Linked DNA regions of Oryzias latipes. The protein of the gene in region 3 purifies or fractionates together with the protein of the main gene of each other region. This does not show direct contact. Links are inferred from orthologs where the notes say so. Each region holds a gene or a part of one and is shown on either strand. Other genes may lie near its edges.

Region 1 (6,002 bases), on a different chromosome or scaffold from region 3:
GAGAGTCTAGAATTCTCTGATACACACTGTTCATATTTTTTTAAAAAGACTACAAATATAATCCATCCATATAAGAAGATTTTTTGTTTGATTTTGGGTTTTTTTACATTTCCATTTTCCTCTCCACTTTAGTGCCTGGAACATTTGGTTTCTGGTGTTTGACATGTACTTTATAAGCAGATCTGCAAACTTGAGCTGCACCTTTTTCATTTCTTTCAAAATAAACCACAAATGTTAAGTGTTCCAATAGGTTGAGAACTATATTTAAGATTCTGAATTTTCTGACAATTGCAATAATGAAATTACTTAGTAATTACTTGGTATTCTATATAAAGACAGCAAAGTAGACAGCAAAGAAAACGGTTGTGAACTCATACTTTTGTTATATTGTTGTTGTGCTTTTATTCTGAAGGGTGTTTTACACACAAAGAAAGACTTGGGCAGGGATTTTAGGAATTTCATATAAATAACGGGGAAAAAATGTCGTATAAATTAGAAAAACAGCTGCTGCTGATGGCAGTGGGGCTTACGGTTCCCAAAAGGTGTGCTTTGTTGTGCTTACCCATTTGTGCGGATCAAAGTGCATCAGCAAGCAGCCTGTGATTACCTGTTGTGAGAAGACCATCTGGCCCAGAGTCCCAGTAGGTCAGGTAAAATGGTCAGGAGACAGATTGTCTTATCAAAGCCGCCTGCAGACGTGGAGTTTTAAAGAACCACATTTCTGCATTCAGATTATTGATTTCTGACCAACAACGGGGAAAAAAGGAAGCAGTGTGTGTCTTTCTAAAGGCACACCCAGAGAGCCGGCGCTCTGTAATTGCTTGGCAACTGCTTGCCATGTGTGTGCTAAAGTTTAAGACAACAATAAGCACAAAATGTCTCCAAGAAAAGCATCAGAGCTGCAAAGTAAAGAGCTTCCTGTGCATGCAATCCTTCCTGCCACTTTAATTTGGCCATGTTTCACTGTCAGGATAAAAGATCCGTGGGGAGCTAAATGTTTGCAGGTCGTGGATAGCCACGGGCTTAAACCCTCTCCAGATCAACTTTACTTAAGCCGCCATAAGCAGCCCTGCTTTTTGACACCCAAAAGGCGAAGCTGCTTGGGCGCACAGCTTGTTTTCCTTCTCAGAATTTGGGCTGAATTGATATGGATCATTGTGTCTGTGGGAGGGTTTTGAGTTTGATGAGCTCTGAAGCCTCTAAGCTGAACGTTCAGCTTACTGGCTTTTGTCACAAGGGAGCGGAAGCCATTAAACCGACCACACAAACTACATCAATGTGTTAAAGACACAAGTTCTACCACAAACAGGTCATTAAATTTTACCTTTCTCGGTACAAAAACACATGGGCAGGAATAAGTTTTATCCTTAAATGTCTGGCATTTTTCTACAGGCCTGTTTCTTGTCTGCCTGAGCTCACTTTTTAACAACATTAATCAAGCTTGGTGTAAATAAACTCCTTTTTTTGTTAAGTAACCAAAATCAAATTACACTTTTGAAAAAAGAAAAAATCTGTATAACAAAAGCTCAAAAGCGTGTGGAGCAGAACACCAAGTTTGGCCTGTAAATTTACATATTTAAACAAGATGCAAAAACAAAAACAAACAAAAAATCTGAATTTTCTTTTGCAGACATCATTAGAGCTAGTATCAAATGCACGCTTGCATCTTCTCCACTGTAATTCTGATGTCTTCTCTCTTTGCACTGTGGAGATCTGCTGACATCTCCTGGAGATGTGGATCATCAACATCTGGATTTTTTCTGCATCCGGCTCTGTTTCACATCTGAAATAAAATCCTCAACAAATGTGAAAAACAACTGTTTGTTTTTCATAATTCTGAAGACAGATTGTACCTATTATTTCACAATGCAGTTAATTAATTGGAAAACATCAAAATTAATTAATTTTGGAACTTCCTGTTGGTCCTCTGCTCATTCTGCCTCCAATGTTTTTATTGTTTTAGGCTCATCCAGAAGCACATATTTCTTCTGACTATTCCAAAAGGTAACCACTTTATTGAAATGCATTTGGTTATAAGGTTTGAACTGAATTCAGAGCTGAAAACTCTAAGCATTAATTGGTCCAATTGAAGCTTAAATGTATGTAGCTGGCTAATCTGAATCTAAAGGTTTTATTCGCATTATAGTGAACTTCATAGTTACCTGCTGTTGAAAAGACATTAAAATGGTTATGACTTCAAAAATCTCATTTATCACTGATATATGGTGAAAATGAACATAGAGGACTTTACTGGTTTGACTTACACATTACCTAAAATAAAAATCTGGAATAATAACTTTAAAATCTATTAACAAATAGCTTCTCTTATTATTACGCCAAAAAAGAACTTTATTGTTTTTACCAGTTATTTCAGCAACACCTCGTTGTTACCAAATGATTGAAAATAAAGCGCAATTTGGTCTCTTTTACATGGGATTTTCATTTTATTATTATTACTATTATTATTATTAATTTATTTATATTTTATTTATTTATTACCACAGTGCTGTTTCACTAGGAATGACTCAACGCTAGGGGGCAGCAGTGCGCTCAGAGACATCCTATCTGCACATTATATTCAACGAAGAGGAAGCGTCTCCATTGAATTTTCATTGCGTCACTTCCTTGTAAAATAAAACAAACGTATATGCGGTTTTGTGCTATGGTTTAATTTTTTTTTGTAAACAACTGCCTATATTTCGGTTTAGTAAATCTCATATTTAAGGAATAATAGGTGTTCACTATCAGGTTAGTTGTGTCTCATTTCTTCTTGAATTACAGTAAAGGCTTTTCCAGTCGTATTATTTATTTAGTCTTTTTTCCATGCTTGCTAAGCCGGCTAATGTTTACAGCCGGTGGTTTCCTTTTCATAAACTGCCTCAGTTACATAAACGCGTAATTAATAATAATCATAGTTGAATTGTTAGATTATTCGTTGTCATGTTTTAAGCTAGAGAGACATTTTAAACAAACGGTACACACACACGGCTTTGTTTGTTTGTTCCTGCTCTCCGTTTTTAAATTGTTTACAATATGCCAAATCATGACGTTTTATTTCAAGTTAACACATAATGAAGATGTGATGAAGAGAAACATTTTAGATGCTCACTCTGTCTGATGGTTAGAGAATCCATTAATTGTGACATTTCAAAGCTTGAATTTCATTGAAATAATCATCACACATGTTTATATATTAATATTTCACCAAGTACCGCCTGTAGAGGAAAATAAAGTATTTTGTGTGTTTTGCTCCATGATACCACCCTTATTTCCCCTTTTCCCGTGTCTCCCACACGTCCAGGTTGTGGACATGGAGCCGCCCAGTAAACCTGGCTCCAACCAGGTGGCCGATGTGGTTTTTGTCATCGAAGGGACGGCAAACCTGGGACCGTACTTTGAATCACTGAGAAAAAACTACATCCTTCCAGCTATTGAGTAAGAAGCAGAAGATGTGCAGACTTTACAGAGTGAGCTGCTCATACATTAAAACAGTAAATATCTTATTTCTTTTTTTCTAGATATTTTAATGGAGGGCCCCCAGCAGAAACAGATTTTGGTGGAGACGTGAGTGTAATTTCTGTTTTTGTTAGTATTTCAGTTTTTTAAACTATTTTAGTCCCGTTTTGTAATAATAAGTGACATCTGTTTTTCTTCCTAGTATGGTGGAACACAGTATGGTCTGGTGGTGTTCAACACAGTGGACTGTGCTCCTGAATCCTACGTTCAGTGTCACGCACCAACCAGCTCTGCCTACGAGTTTGTTTCATGGATCGACAGCATCCAGTAACTTGGCTACATTTATTAAAAAAGCAGATAGGGATCTTGTCTAAAACTCCCATGAATTTCTTGAAAGATGTGATGGGTGTTTTCCTGCAGGTTCATGGGTGGTGGAGCAGAAAGCTGCAGCCTGATTGCAGAAGGCCTTTCTGTGGCCTTGCAGCTCTTTGACGACTTTAAAAAAATGAGGGAGCAAATGTAAGGTATCATTTCGTCTAAGATGTTTAAAACATTGTTCTGTGTTTATTAAAATAAAAGTTAAAGTACATTTTAGCTCCCTAACTTTTGTTTAAACCAGGGTCTGCAACCTTTAACACTAAAAAAGCCATTCAGGCCAGTTTCCCATTGACAAAAACAGCAGCAGCTCCGAAGTCTTGTTTCACCCTCTAGAAAAATTCAAAACTCCTTTGTATTTGTTGCTTTCTTTTTTTGATATATATATATTAATTAAGCTATTTTGACTTAAATAAAAACAATAGGGAAAAAATAAATGATAGCATTTTATTCAATTCACATGAATTTGTTTTTTCCTCCTGAGAAAAGTGGACACTTTTAAAAAAATAAAGACACATCTGCTGCCGTAAATATACTTCAAAGAAAATGTTATACAATGTAAATCAACAAAGGCTTTTTCTTTTGTTTTATATAAGTCTACTTTGGTGTGTCATCGCCCTTTTCCAAGCTTAGTAATATAACCTGAAGATAAATATCATGGTCTGAGAGCCATGTATAAAAGTATATACATGTCTTTCTCTTTCCCCCTCTGGGCAGTTATTAAACATTATTTTGCAGCGTAACATAATTTGTTTTAAGTATATCCCAATAATAAACATACTTAAAGGATTACAATGTTTTTAAGAACACATGTAATTTGCTGAGTGTTTGAAATGTGTGCATTCTGGGAGAAACATAAGGCCGTTTTCATTTTTTATTGTTATAGGAGCATTTTAGCCAAAAATCTAAGAAACTACATTTAAATCAATGCTACGATATTTATCACAACCAAAGAGCCAGAATGGAGCAGTTTGGCTCTGGAGCCTCGTGTTGCAGATCCCTGCTTAAGACATCACTGACTACTTTTTAAGTTTTGTCTAAACAAGTTTTTTTCACGGTAAATGGGGAGAACGTAGACTTCCAATGTCTGATGTTGACTTTTACAGTATTCTAAACATACTGTGAAGGATTTTTAACAGTCATTGTTCTTGTTTCTGTCTGCGTGTGTCACTGCAGAGGTCAAACACATAAGGTCTGCGTGCTTCTGTGTAATTCTCCTCCGTATCTGCTTCCTGCTGTGGAGAGCGTCAGCTACACCGGATGCACAGCGGAAAGCCTGGCCAAAATCATCAGAGATGTGAGTTTTTCTACTGTGGTTTTTAATTTTGTTCAGTTCTATGAGTTGTGGCATTTCTCCTTTTTTATTATGGGAATATTTCAGATTTAAGGGGGAATTTTCAATGAATTAATCCGTCCATCAAATTGACCGTCCAACTAACTAGTCTAAGCGATGATGTCCTAAGATTTCCCTCCCCAGAATTGTTTTCAAATCTTCAGTTTTTCCAATTATTGTCACAATATATTATATTTGAAATAGATTTTTTTGAATAGGAATTAATATCTTCTCATTCAAACCAATTGTTTAGTCTGTCTGAACAGCATTCTTTTAAGAATATTTTACAACTACAAACCAAAAAGAAGAAAATCTCAATGCAATTTCAATTGCTGTCATTCTATTACAATATTTTTACACTGACTTTCACATCCATGAGGCTGTGAAAGCAAAACTTTCTAATATTGTTGAGGCGACTTTCCTACTGAAGCTTTCTGAGGAGCCGATGGGTTGACAGGGTCTGTCTTATAAATGCGACGCAGTTCATTCCGTTGTTTTGTGTGTGTTTTTTTTTTGTTTTTGTTTTTAACTAAAAAGAATCAAAGTAAAATAAATTTATTTTGTACGAGTTCATGAAGCTGATTAACCAATGGGAAGAAAAGTGGACAGCAAAGAAAACGGTTGTGAAAGTAGCAAATAACTAAAGAAACAACCCAAGCTGCCCTCTCAGTTTGCGGATTTGCTGAAACAATTTAGTCAATATTCAAGATAATCAAGTGTCAATTAAATATGAGTACAAACAAACAAGTAAACAAGAATTATTGGCAAATCCATTCACATTTGAGTTTCCTAAAGTTCAGCCGACTGTTGTTTTTCCACATCCAAAGAATCCAAAGGG
Region 2 (6,008 bases), on a different chromosome or scaffold from region 3:
GGCTGTTGACGTCCCAAAAAAAAAAATTAGAGCTATTTCCCAAAAAATGTCTGAAGTATATTTGAAAAAACAGACTCTGTGACTTACTTTCTTCTTTAGGATCAAATCGTCTTTGTAAACCCGTCCACTTGGAGGACTTTTTTCTGACCACGGAACGAACTCTGGCATAGTATCCGTCGTCTAAATCTGAGGTTTGTGCGCTCAGATCACACCAGGTCCGCACAATGGCTGTGCACTGCCGCACCGCCATCCACTTCAACTGGTTCCCCCCGTCAACGCTCTCGCCGTAGCTAAAACAGACCAGAAAAAAAAAAAAAAAATCAAGCAACGAGGAGTAAACGACTCAATAGAGATCAGACCCCTTTTTTTTGCCAAATAACACCACTTGGTCTTCACTTACATGGCATATTGGACTGTAAAATGGGTGTCATTTGGCGTGTCATGTCCTGGTAACCAGTGCAGCACATTTCTTAGATTCACAGAGGAGAAGCTGACATTGATGGGGCTTGGAGGGAAGGATCCAACTGGGGAAGAGAACAAGAATGAACATGGCTTCATGAGTTTGAGTTGGCATTTGAAGTCCTTTTCCAGTCTTTTATATATTGTAAAAGCGTGCAAAGAAGTGAGTGGAGCTATTTGTTCACAAGTGGATGCATCTGAATGCAGCAGAACAAGACGCTTGTGCCTTGAAGATTGAAGTTTATTTCTAACAATTTATATTTTCTTTCTTCTCTATTGTCCACCATCACGAGAAAAAATGACACAAGAACATGTTGAAAACACAAAAAAAGACCATTTTCACGGAGTGTGTCTTTTCAAACTGAGATTTTTACATTTCCTCTTATACTAACCAAAAGGCTTTTTATTATTTCGGCATAGCTTCAGTAATTCACTGGTGTTTATTTTCATGTTTTGTTGCACAAAACACGGCAGTTATACATTTGGCGGGTTTAAAGCAAATAAACAAAAGTTTGTCAGCTATGAGAAGTCATTCTTGACATAAAAGGAAGTAAACAGTTGATGAATGCACATGCAGAGGTGGATTATGCCTTAAATGATCTGGAAAAAAATCAAATAAAGAGAACTATGCTGCAGCTCGTTTAAATAAAGACAGAAATTTAAAGGGTATAACTAAGAGTTTATGCCATTAACACCTACAGAAGACATCTTTGTTGTTTCAACAAAGTTTCAGAAGAAACCTTTATAGATCAATCCCTGTTATATGATACTTACATAAAGCCTCAGAGAACAAAAGGGCATGTAATTGAGTTTTAGGACCTTAGCAGTATCTATTTCACAGAAGTCATAAATGCCACAGAACTGTGTAAAAACAGCTCATACACTGCATTTTTAGCTTTACATTTAGTTAATAATGATAGACGTTTTTGATTTGTTATTGATCAATTAACAGCAAACTCATCTAGAAAGGTAAACATTATGGAAAAAAACCATCTATGTTTTTTATAAAGTTGATTATTTTTGTTATCTTGAACTGTTAAATAAGGTTTAAAATTATTACATTTACAACCAGATCACACACGTTTATAAACTTGTTGTCTTTAAAAAAAAATCAAAGATTTAAATAATTCTTTAATAGCTGTTAAAAGTAACCTATATGTTTAAAAAAAAGTCTGTTAATTGATCATTTTGCTTTTTTATTTTTTATTGAGAAAAAGGAGATAGTCAATATGAAATGACAGAAAGCCTTGGGAAAATTAGATCGGATTTCTCCTTTTGGACACATTTGACCAATTTTCTCATCCAGCGCGCGAGGATTTCTTTTAACACACAATAACATGTCAACAAATTCTTACCTGTGCAGGTAAGACCCAAGAGGTTCATTAGCACGAAGGCTGTCCACATCCTTGCGCGCGGGGGTTAGTTTATTTTTAAGGAGAATCAAGCTGCGCAGTCCCTCCACCTGCCGTGGACCAGTGACTTTTCACGCGCATTGAAGAAATCGGGTTGCCTCTCAACTAAAAAGAAAGTAAAATAAAAAATCTGTTAAACTAAAAGTGGAAAAAAGGAAGTAGAGGTAAGAATGCGCTCAATGAATGGGAGCGCTCTGCAAAAAAAATCCCCTTTCAACGACGCGTTAATTCCGTGTTTGAGAAAGGAATGTGGCTGTACCTGTCCGCGCGCACGACACCTGAGCAGGTGCAATTAATGTGGGATGGTCACGACCTCGTCATTTTTTTATTTTAGTTTACCACAGCCAATGATTTTGAAACACCCATTGACTTTTCATCTAAATTATGTCACATTACTGGGATAATTTGCAAACTAACTGTTGTCACTGATTTCGAATAAACAAGAAAGTTTATTAAGTGGTTGAGAGTTAAAACAGTAGAGTAATGTTTTGATCAGTGCCCTTAATAGTTTGTGGGCTACAAGCAGTGCGTGTATTTGAAAATAAAGAATCCCCGTTTCTTGAAACAGATAGTTTATCTGATCTTCAGCATAAGTTTTTTTTTTCTTTTTTAACAAGAGACCAAAGTTCTCGGTGTTGCCCGCCGCGACTGTTTATGGCGCTGAATTAACATGACTTTTAGTAGGTGGACATAAAGTTAGAGCGTAGCGGAACTATTTAGTGTGTGTTTCAAGTGTTCACCCGGATCACTTTTCAGTTGCACACGAAGTGGCGCTTCGTTCTCCAAAGACATTAGCATGCCGTTTGTTTGGAGCTCTGTTTGCAACAAAGCGTAGTGACTTTTGGTCAGATTTCACTCTGAATGATCGATATGGCGCTTTCGATGGAGTCTCAGTTGCAGAGCATCTTTGAAGATGTCGTGGTAAATTGCACCTTATAACAAAAATGGATCCACGACAGAGGATCTGTTAGCATTGATGATGCTTGTTTTTATTGTTGTTAGTATTTTTGCGAACTATCTTTTTTTTGTAGATAACCTGCATTAAAATACACAAATTAAATTACACGTGAATAACACTTGTTAACAAACAAATGTATCAGGTTTGGATTATAATCTGTTGTCAGTGGTGATGCTTTTGTTAACAAGGCACTTATCCTCAAAATGAATGAGTCTTTGTTTAGGTATTTTTGAAGCAAAGGCTATTTTCTTCCTTTGACTGCTGTCAATAGGAAAATTTTATTTTTGGTTGTTTGTATTTTGAATTTTGATCTCTTTTAACATCATAAATCATATTTTCTTCTTCTCAATCTTTCAGAAAACTGAGACAATAGAAGAAGCTTTTGCTGGGTAAGCTTGTTACTAACTTTTATTCATAATGAGTAATAAACATGTTGAAAAAAGGTCAAAATGCTTTGACTTTTAGTTCTGATTTTAAAAAAAAAGAATAGAAATCTGTAGTTTGTTTAATTTATTTTCTGCTCCTAAAACATATTTCACCCCTAAACATTGTGTTGGATTGACAACAAATGGTTCTTATTCCTAAACTAAAAAAGTGAAGCTGGCATTTTCGGGTTTCAGGATGTTCATGGACACTCCAGAGGATGAAAGAACTAAACTCATCAGTTGTCTGGGAGCCTTCAGACAGTACTGGGGAACTCTGCCACAGGTTTTTAAACTTATTTTTTTTAATATCTTAAACATTTATACACAAAGATACATCATATTCTGTATATTTATTCTTTTTTTTCCTCTTCAGGATTCTCACGAGCAGTGTGTTCAGTGGATTGTGCGCTTCATACACACTCAGCGCAGTCCCAAAAGGATCTCCTTCTTGTATGATTGTCTTGCAATGGCTGTGGAGACTAGTCTGTTGCCTCCCAGGTGCATACACTCATTTATCATAGTCTGCCCACATTCTTTACATTCATTTATGCAATTTATGAAAAGATAAAAGCTCCATATAAAGTTTTTTGAAGCTGAGTGTTTCCTCTTCCTTATATTTTCACTATTAAACACATTATTTTTTATTCATTTCTGCAGATTCTAATTCAAAGTGCATTTCTGCTTTGACCACTTTTTGAAAATGACAGTATTAGCTTGTTTGCTTATTCATTGTGAGGCTTGAAATTGTGTGACTCATTCCTTTGATGAATTCATTTGCTTTCAGGATGGTGTGTGTAGCTCTCATTAGCTCAGACAGCTTGGAGTGGGAAAGAACACAGTTATGGGCTTTAACCTTCAAGCTCATCCGCAAAATAATCGGAGGGGTGGACTACAAGGTGTTTGACGCACTAAAAATAAATCTCCTTTAAGCTTGAAAGACATTAATGGACTTTAAAAGAATTTAGTTTTGTTTTTAAAATCTGCTCTATATTTTCCTTAGGGTGTACGCGATCTGTTGAAAGGTGTTCTGGATAAAATTCAGACCGTCCCCATTACTGTCAGCTCAGCTATACTCCAGCAGCTGCTGGCCGCCAGGGAGGTACAGATCATTCCCGTTTTCTTGAATTCTGTAATTCAGATCCAGTTTTTTATTTGTCTTGACACAAACCGTAATTCTCAGATAGTCGTTTCTGCCCATTTTTCAGGTGGTGGAGTACATTTTGGACAGAAACGCCTGCCTCCTCCCAGCATACTTTGCTGTAACAGAAATAAGAAAACTGTACCCAGAAGGCCAGCTCTCACATTGGGTATGTGAATAATTACACGAGTGTGTAAATGTACATCCCTAACATCTTCAATTCTTTGAAACATGTCTTTGATTTTTGGGGTTTTCTGTGTTTGATTTTTAGATTTTGGGCAGTTTAATATCAGACTTTGTGGATAGTTTCAGACCTACAGCAAGAATCAACTCAATCTGTGGTAAAACTCACACACACCCAAACACACACACTTAAGGATTTTACAATTTTTTGTCTTTCTAAAGCATTTAACTATGCTAGATTTCTTTCAACTACGGCTGGATTAAAACAGCAAGGATCAGTTTAACAAATCAATAAATTAATTTTACTTTAACCCCTTCTTGCATGAACTTTATTTTGAAATTGAAAACATTTTTTACTTTCAATGTGATGCTAGATTTCTCTTGTACGGTATTAAATGATATTTTTTTCAGGCATAAAAAAAACTGCTTTTTGTTAATAAAAACATGACCAATCTTAGTTCTAATAATAAAACTTCCACTTTTGCTCAATTTGAAAGATAATTTTTCTAAGAACAAATTTTTCATAATCAAACTTAAGTGGTTTTAAAAGCAAAGTTTGTCATGCAAATCATTTTGTGAACTTGTAATTTGAAATCAAATCAGTAGTTTGGTTGCGATACCAAGCCCTTCTTTTAACAAGAAATTCTTACGTTTAATTTTTAATTCTAATTTAATAATTACCGGTAACCAAAAACCCACATAATGTCTGTAAATTTTGTGTGTAATGCAATAATTTAAAAAAAGGAAGTCCTCCGACTCCGCCTCTTCTTTGTGCTTGTTTAACAGCTTGCTGGTGTTTAGATAAACTGGAGGAAGTTTAAAAAGTCAAGTTTTAGAATAAACATATAAGCCAGCTATAGGTATTTACTGACCCTACAGTAAAGTTCACCATTGCTTGATTTGTGAGCGTGAAGCTGATTATCGCTCTCCATGCTGTGTGCGTGGCAGATCCAAATAAATGGGGATCCATGGGGATTCATTTTTTTTTCTTGTCCCTGAACGTGTGTTTTAATGCTTATCCAAGTAAGAAATAGATCGAAATAGATCTGGGATTTATACAAAACAGTTAAAATCATGGAAGAAACATCATATAGTACAGATTTTAATGATATATGTTCGTAATCTGCTGTCCCTAGGAAGGTTAAATGACAAACATCAGATTCACACTAAAATATATATATTTTTTAATCAGTTTCCTGCAGGGTTTTCCAAGAAAAGAAAACTTTTATTTAATAAAAAAATAAAAATAACACTATATTGGCATTTTAAAATGTTTTTTAGTGTAAATTTCTTTTATAAATTGTTGTTTTCTTAATTATTCAACTTTTTCCACATATCCTTGTAAATATTGGAAGTTTAATGTTAATGGAATTTGAAATCAGTCCCAGAATCGTAAAACTAAATGTTTGAAAGCGTAATTGAAGCTAAGTGAC
Region 3 (5,927 bases):
GGTTTTGAGAATTTATGAAAAACATAAAAGTCGCAAATCCAACAAAGTTAAGCCATTTAACTGTAAAATTGTATCCGTACTAAAATATCTGCATCTCAGTCATAAAACAAATTCAGTTTATTTGCAAACATTTCCATTAAACATTGTAATTCAAAGAAAATTTACCAATGACTTTTGAGCATAAAAAGCTTTTTAAAAGCAGGTGTTAAAAAGAATGTGTTGCTAAAAATAAGTGGAAAAAATTAAATAAAGAGTTTAATTAAATCTATGTCACACTGTCATAAAAATTACATTGAAAGATCACAGCATGCAACTCAACTGACAACCCAGAGTCCATGTAATGTGTATGCCAATCCTCACCAGGGGTGCCCAGCAGGTTACCATCTCTCATGAGGCGGTACTCGTCTTCACTCAATTCATTTATGAAGTGATAATATGCTTCCTCCCGTCGAAGACGCTCTGCCTGCCTCTGCCGTTCATCTCCCCCACTGGGAGGGTCCATAACAAAGAAGAGTGCTGGAAGGCCCATGTGGAAGGGTGTCAGAGAAATGGACACGGTGAAGCAACATTTCACTTCAGTTCACAAAAATGTGGAACATTTATTCTAATGAAGTTAGACATGCTTCCAATCAGACAACATTAGTTCGTGACCATCAGTCTATATTCTTCTGTTTTATTCTTGTCTAAACAAATTTTAATTATACTTTATAATTTTACTGTTTTGTGGCCATACTATCCTAACTGTGATTCTTGTCAATGCTTTTCTAAAAGGTCTTTTTTGTGCATAAAATAAACTTGCCTCTCTAATACTTGTTATAATTTCTACTTAATTTACAAGAGTATTCAAGGTTCAACACTAATAGCAAAATCATTTGTGTATAGGACTAAGCAATATGGACAGCACAGTAGTATTAACATTTGTGGAAAAAAGGTATAGTCATATATGTTCTGCTGTAAAGGCCCAGCTATAATTTGCATAAATCACTGATCAAATGCCTGTGAGCGAGTATACATAAATAATAACCATGAATAGTATCCCCAAAAGGCCATGTCCAAATCATGTTGTTCAGCTGACTCTTAACCAATCACCGCCCCTGTTTGGTTTTAGTGGCAGGTCAAGTAACCAATCACCGTGCGACAGAGGCGGAAAATGAAACCTATTAAACGGAGATCTACTCCATGTAAACGCAGGACAAGGAAGGAAACACAAAGTCGTGAACAGCACTAAACAATAAAACGATTAAGATATTATACTGGGAATACACGTACGACAACACTTTAACGAGGCTGTTTGTTCTATATTTACTTCAAGACGCTACAATGTTGATTTAAACAAGCAACGCGTCAACTGCTAACTAGCATGCTAGTGATATAACGTCAGCTAGTAGTAGCAGCACTGAAGTCGACAGCCGTTTAGCTGAGAGGCAAAACCTCATAACGCACCACATATGCTGTTACAACAAGTTCGCCGGATATTGCACATATGATCTATCTTTATAGATAAATGGAAACCACATTAGGAAGTAGTGTCAGTAACATTTGCTTTAGAGAAGTACCTGACAAAGCAGCTGTAATGGAAGGTTCTCTCCGCTTTCCCCTTTCTCTCCGACCAAGATGGGACCAGCGGTGCTACATGACTCTGCTCGCCGGAAACAAAATTCCTTAACCCTTAGTTCCTACAAACACAGCTTTTTGTTTATTTCTTTGTTTGTTTGTAATCTTTTTTTAAGTTCCTTGTGATATTATTGACTGGTAAATTTGCTTCTAACATTGATTAAAAGATTAAACATGTTTTTTTTTCTTTTAGTCTACTGTATGCACCAACTGACATCCTTCGTCAGCAGCAAACTAAATGCTGTCTTTTTATTTTTATTTTTAGAATTAATATGCAAAATACAACAAAAATTGAGATTAAATAGAACAATTATGTTGAAAAAAACGGGGATGGCGTATGCATTACAAAACATACATTATAATATAGTAAAAATATTATATATATATATTATATAATTATATATTATATATAAAAATATATTAAAAGACAGACAACTTTCAAATATATTTTTTTTTGTTGTTGCTACTGTTAGAAATTGTACTCCAGTCAATCAAAAAATGTGTATGCATACAGGGAGACATTAGATTAACGAGGATAATTCTAGGTATTGTATTCTTTTTTTTGCTTGTTTGTTTAAATAGAAAATTGTGACTTCTCATGGCATTTCGGTGTGTATGTAAATAGCCTTATTTATGTACCATTTCACGTTTTTTCTCTTATAGAGGTTTTATGTATTTAAATACTTGTTTTCTTTTATGTTTGTTTTTAGGATTTATCAATAATTACTTTTAAAGATTACTATTTGTTGAACTGTAAAAACTAAACACTGGCAAGTGACTGCATAATAAAAGAAAGAATATCTGAAAAACCTTCCTCGGCTTTATTTGTTTGTTGTTCACCCACGTACTGATTTATTTATTTATTTATTTAAGTGCGAATATCCACGTGGTTGTGTATCTCTGCCATTCTCCTTTCTCTGCTGCAGGGGCTGTCTTTACGACACTTTGCGACAATGGCTGGCACGATTACGCCGTGGCTACAGACTGAATTGCGTCTCTTTGGAGAAGATACCGGCTGAGAGAAACGCAGAAACAACAGAAAGGAAATTGTAAAATCGGGCCTTTTTCAGCACGGATAATTGCCAATCTCCGCGCTTACCCATCGGAAGGTTATTTTCGAGCCCAAACCTCGATGTGGAAGCTGAGCTGAAGAAAGAAAGGGACCCGCTGGGAAGGCAACTAGCTGAAATAACCAAAAACCGAGCTCGTTGAGTCAAGGAGCCTAGTTGCCTCCCTAGCGACGCTTTAAAAAGAAAGGAAGAAACGCAGACATTCAGCCTCTGAAGTGGTGAAAAATGGACTATGACTTTAAACTGAAGCTGACCGGTGAACGAGAGCGCGTCGAGGACCTGTTTGAGTACGAAGGATGCAAAGTGGGAAGAGGCACCTACGGTCATGTGTACAAGGCGAAGAGAAAAGATGGGTGAGTTGATGACCAACAAGGCCTCCAGCCGCTGAACCCTGCGCCAGCCCCCTCCCGCTCCATTTAAACCACTTTAGTTTGCCCCCTTTCGCGGTGGAGGAAGCGTGCTGCAGACAAAAACAGCAATAGCAGAGTGTTAAAAAGCCCACACTAGGATGCTGAGGAAGCTTTGTGTAGCAGCACTACTAGCTTAAATGAGGAGTGACATTTTCTCTCATGGATGGGAGGCTAATTTAGCAGGAATATATTTGCAACCATTGCATGCAGCTTTGTGGTTGGTTCTGTGTGAGCATCATTAAATTGTATTAGTTAAGGTTAGATCTAATTAAATTGATATTGTACTTATTGTGGTTCTCAGGTCTTGTTTATCATAATCCACACACATTTAATTATGAATTTGATTATGATTTTCCAGTGGAAATAAAGGTTTATTGGCAGTATAGATGTGTCTGAGATCAGTTTTTTAAACTAATATTTAGACAGGAAATTAAGCTTCAATAATAATTATTTTTTAGGGGACATATTTTTTCTAGTAGTGACACTGGGATTTGTTATTTATGTTGTTAATGTTAAAGCAACACTTGAGCTTTTAAAGTGCAACTTTCCGATGTGGTCCCTAGCTTTATCTGGCCCTAACCTGGGTTAAAGCAGCAACTTCCTGGCCCACACAAGGCGCATTACCCTAAAGGAGAAAATCTGGACAGCAGAACCATAGAAAGAAGCTTTGAGATGTTTGTGTTACTGTTGTTTATGAGACACCGTGGGCTGCAGAATCTTTCCAACTACAAAGTGTGGATTTATAAGATAATTTAGGCCAAGAGGAGGAACGATATTCAAGAGTGAGCCAGTCCCAGAGCTCTGTTTGTCCCTCCCAGCTGCCAGAAACCGCCTGTTTCCTCTCCCCCTTTATTGTTTAGAGCCTCAGAGGTGAGCTTGATTACACAAATCTGGAGGTAATGCAGCTCAGCCTCTTCACCAGCTCCCCACACCAGCTGCCAAGTGCCCCCCTCCCGTCCTTTATTTTTGTTTTCTGTGCATAGAGCTTTCTGGGGGCCTGCTGTCTGGCCTGGTGTTGATGTGCTGGATTTTTCTGTTTTTAGGAAGGATGATAAAGACTACGCCCTCAAGCAGATAGAAGGCACTGGCATCTCCATGTCAGCCTGCAGAGAGATTGCAGTAAGGGCTTTTTCCCACTGGTTAATACATTTATGCCATTCTTTTCATTTAGAATATTTTTGTTTTAACCACTCATTAAATGAAACCAAAATTGGTTTATTGCATTTATTCATTTGTAAAATAAGTTCATAATCATCCTAAACTTTAAATAAGACAAATTAAGATATTTCATTGAAAGGACATTTGTGTTTATTGGATTAAAATGTTTCAAAATGCACTACAATATGTCCTTAGTGTGACATCTGACCATATTAGCAGCTTTCTGTCCCTTGAATCCTTTTACGTCTAAACTTAAAGGGATAGAACACCAAAATGTTTTTTTTTCTTGTGATTTAAATAAAGATTAGCTGTTTTCAACAAGGACAAAGAAAATGAAGCAGGCTTTGCATAAAATGCTTGTTTAGCTCGCTCCACCCCATCTCAAAAAGCCATTTGTGACTTTTAACATTACATTTAGCAGCTAGTTACCCATCATTCTTCCTGTACATGCTGGATACTGGTGGAATAGTCAGACATGAAAAAGGAAATTATTAATTTAAGTTGAACAAAACCCCTTAAAGATCATTTACTCGCTGCTTACCAGCACTGAAAATCATATTTGTGTTCAAAAATCGAAAGTCTGGGTTGGCATTCTCTCACTTTGGTTGTTGCCAGATTATTTATTTATCGTCTTTGCAGGTCAGAGGCTTGTTCAAGTACCGAAAGAACTGTTCTAGAAGCACCAAGCTCAGGGAATGTTTGGCAACTACATTTTTTTTCTGAGGCCATAGTAATTGCTGAAGATCACCTCAAACATGCAATACTTTCTGCCTGGTAGTTTTATTGTCTAAAATTGCAACCAGAGAGTGCTGGGATTAACAAACGCACAGCTCCTGCCTGCAGTTTATCACAGCCATGCTGACTCTGACTTTACTCCATAAACAGGCTCCCATCTGTCAAATCTATCAGAATATTTCTTGGTCGTCAGGTAAACAAAAGCTGGAAGGTGTTTGGAATATTTTATGTATGTTTGTGGCGCGTTCAAAATGTTTTGAACTTACAGGCTAACTCAAACACTTTATAGGCATTCATTAATTGTAAGGTTTATCTGCTTTTGGTAGATCGTGCAGGTAATACCTGATTTTCGTTTTATTTTCGGAAATGTTTCTGGTCTGTGTGTTTTTGTCGTTCCTGATTTATGCCATGGAGCTGAAGGGTTTTATGTTGCAGCTGCTGCGGGAGCTGAAGCACCCCAATGTCATCTCCCTGCAGAAGGTTTTCCTGTCACACGCGGACCGTAAAGTATGGCTGCTCTTTGACTATGCGGAGCATGATCTCTGGGTAAAATGGAAACACACACTGGAACTGCACTACTCATCAATCACACTACTGCTGTGCGAGGGGAGAGCCAATACGATGTTTTTCTACTTTAACTTTTTTCACAAGTAACAAATCCCCACCTATGCTCAACGATATGTTACATAAATTACACTGCACGTCAGTACTTTGAAGATTTTTCTCTACACGCGGGAATGCGCCCCTTTGATGCTTCACACTTCAGAAAGAAAAAAACAACAACACTCCAGTCTGTTGGTGTCATGAGAAGAATTACTTTGCTTTTTGGTAGTTAAACCCTTTTCCATTTAAGTAAGCAGTTACGACTGGCAGAGAATGTAAGTGAAATACCTTTTACTGCCGCAGAGCTGCAACACTTGCATTCCCCCTCCACAGAAGT

Evidence for each region. The genes of interacting proteins can lie anywhere in the genome.
Region 1: the proteins of cdk8 (region 3) and med25 purify together in Homo sapiens (affinity purification with mass spectrometry; 8 studies listed by BioGRID and IntAct, counting the BioPlex papers as one, with this or other methods). This does not show direct contact. The link is inferred for Oryzias latipes from reciprocal best matches to the Homo sapiens genes CDK8 and MED25.
Region 2: the proteins of cdk8 (region 3) and med23 purify together in Homo sapiens (affinity purification with mass spectrometry; 10 studies listed by BioGRID and IntAct, counting the BioPlex papers as one, with this or other methods). This does not show direct contact. The link is inferred for Oryzias latipes from reciprocal best matches to the Homo sapiens genes CDK8 and MED23.

What each region holds. Positions count from the first base shown.
Region 1 is NC_019866.2:3,604,946-3,610,947, reverse strand, and holds the start of med25 (mediator of RNA polymerase II transcription subunit 25), read left to right. Parts: upstream 1-2,602; 5' UTR 2,603-2,748; intron 2,749-3,301; 5' UTR 3,302-3,310; coding exon 3,311-3,435; intron 3,436-3,518; coding exon 3,519-3,564; intron 3,565-3,658; coding exon 3,659-3,783; intron 3,784-3,876; coding exon 3,877-3,975; intron 3,976-5,007; coding exon 5,008-5,128; intron 5,129-6,002. UniProt on the Homo sapiens protein: Component of the Mediator complex, a coactivator involved in the regulated transcription of nearly all RNA polymerase II-dependent genes.
Region 2 is NC_019882.2:15,918,425-15,924,432, reverse strand, and holds the start of med23 (mediator of RNA polymerase II transcription subunit 23), read left to right. Parts: upstream 1-2,608; 5' UTR 2,609-2,732; coding exon 2,733-2,792; intron 2,793-3,186; coding exon 3,187-3,218; intron 3,219-3,449; coding exon 3,450-3,537; intron 3,538-3,627; coding exon 3,628-3,752; intron 3,753-4,038; coding exon 4,039-4,150; intron 4,151-4,254; coding exon 4,255-4,353; intron 4,354-4,459; coding exon 4,460-4,561; intron 4,562-4,663; coding exon 4,664-4,733; intron 4,734-6,008. Other genes in the region: interleukin-20 receptor subunit alpha, read right to left, coding at 1-2, 88-290, 401-524, 1,815-1,863. UniProt on the Homo sapiens protein: Required for transcriptional activation subsequent to the assembly of the pre-initiation complex. Component of the Mediator complex, a coactivator involved in the regulated transcription of nearly all RNA polymerase II-dependent genes.
Region 3 is NC_019878.2:17,541,630-17,547,556, reverse strand, and holds the start of cdk8 (cyclin-dependent kinase 8), read left to right. Parts: upstream 1-2,515; 5' UTR 2,516-2,909; coding exon 2,910-3,037; intron 3,038-4,137; coding exon 4,138-4,213; intron 4,214-5,422; coding exon 5,423-5,533; intron 5,534-5,927. Other genes in the region: E3 ubiquitin-protein ligase RNF6, read right to left, coding at 361-502.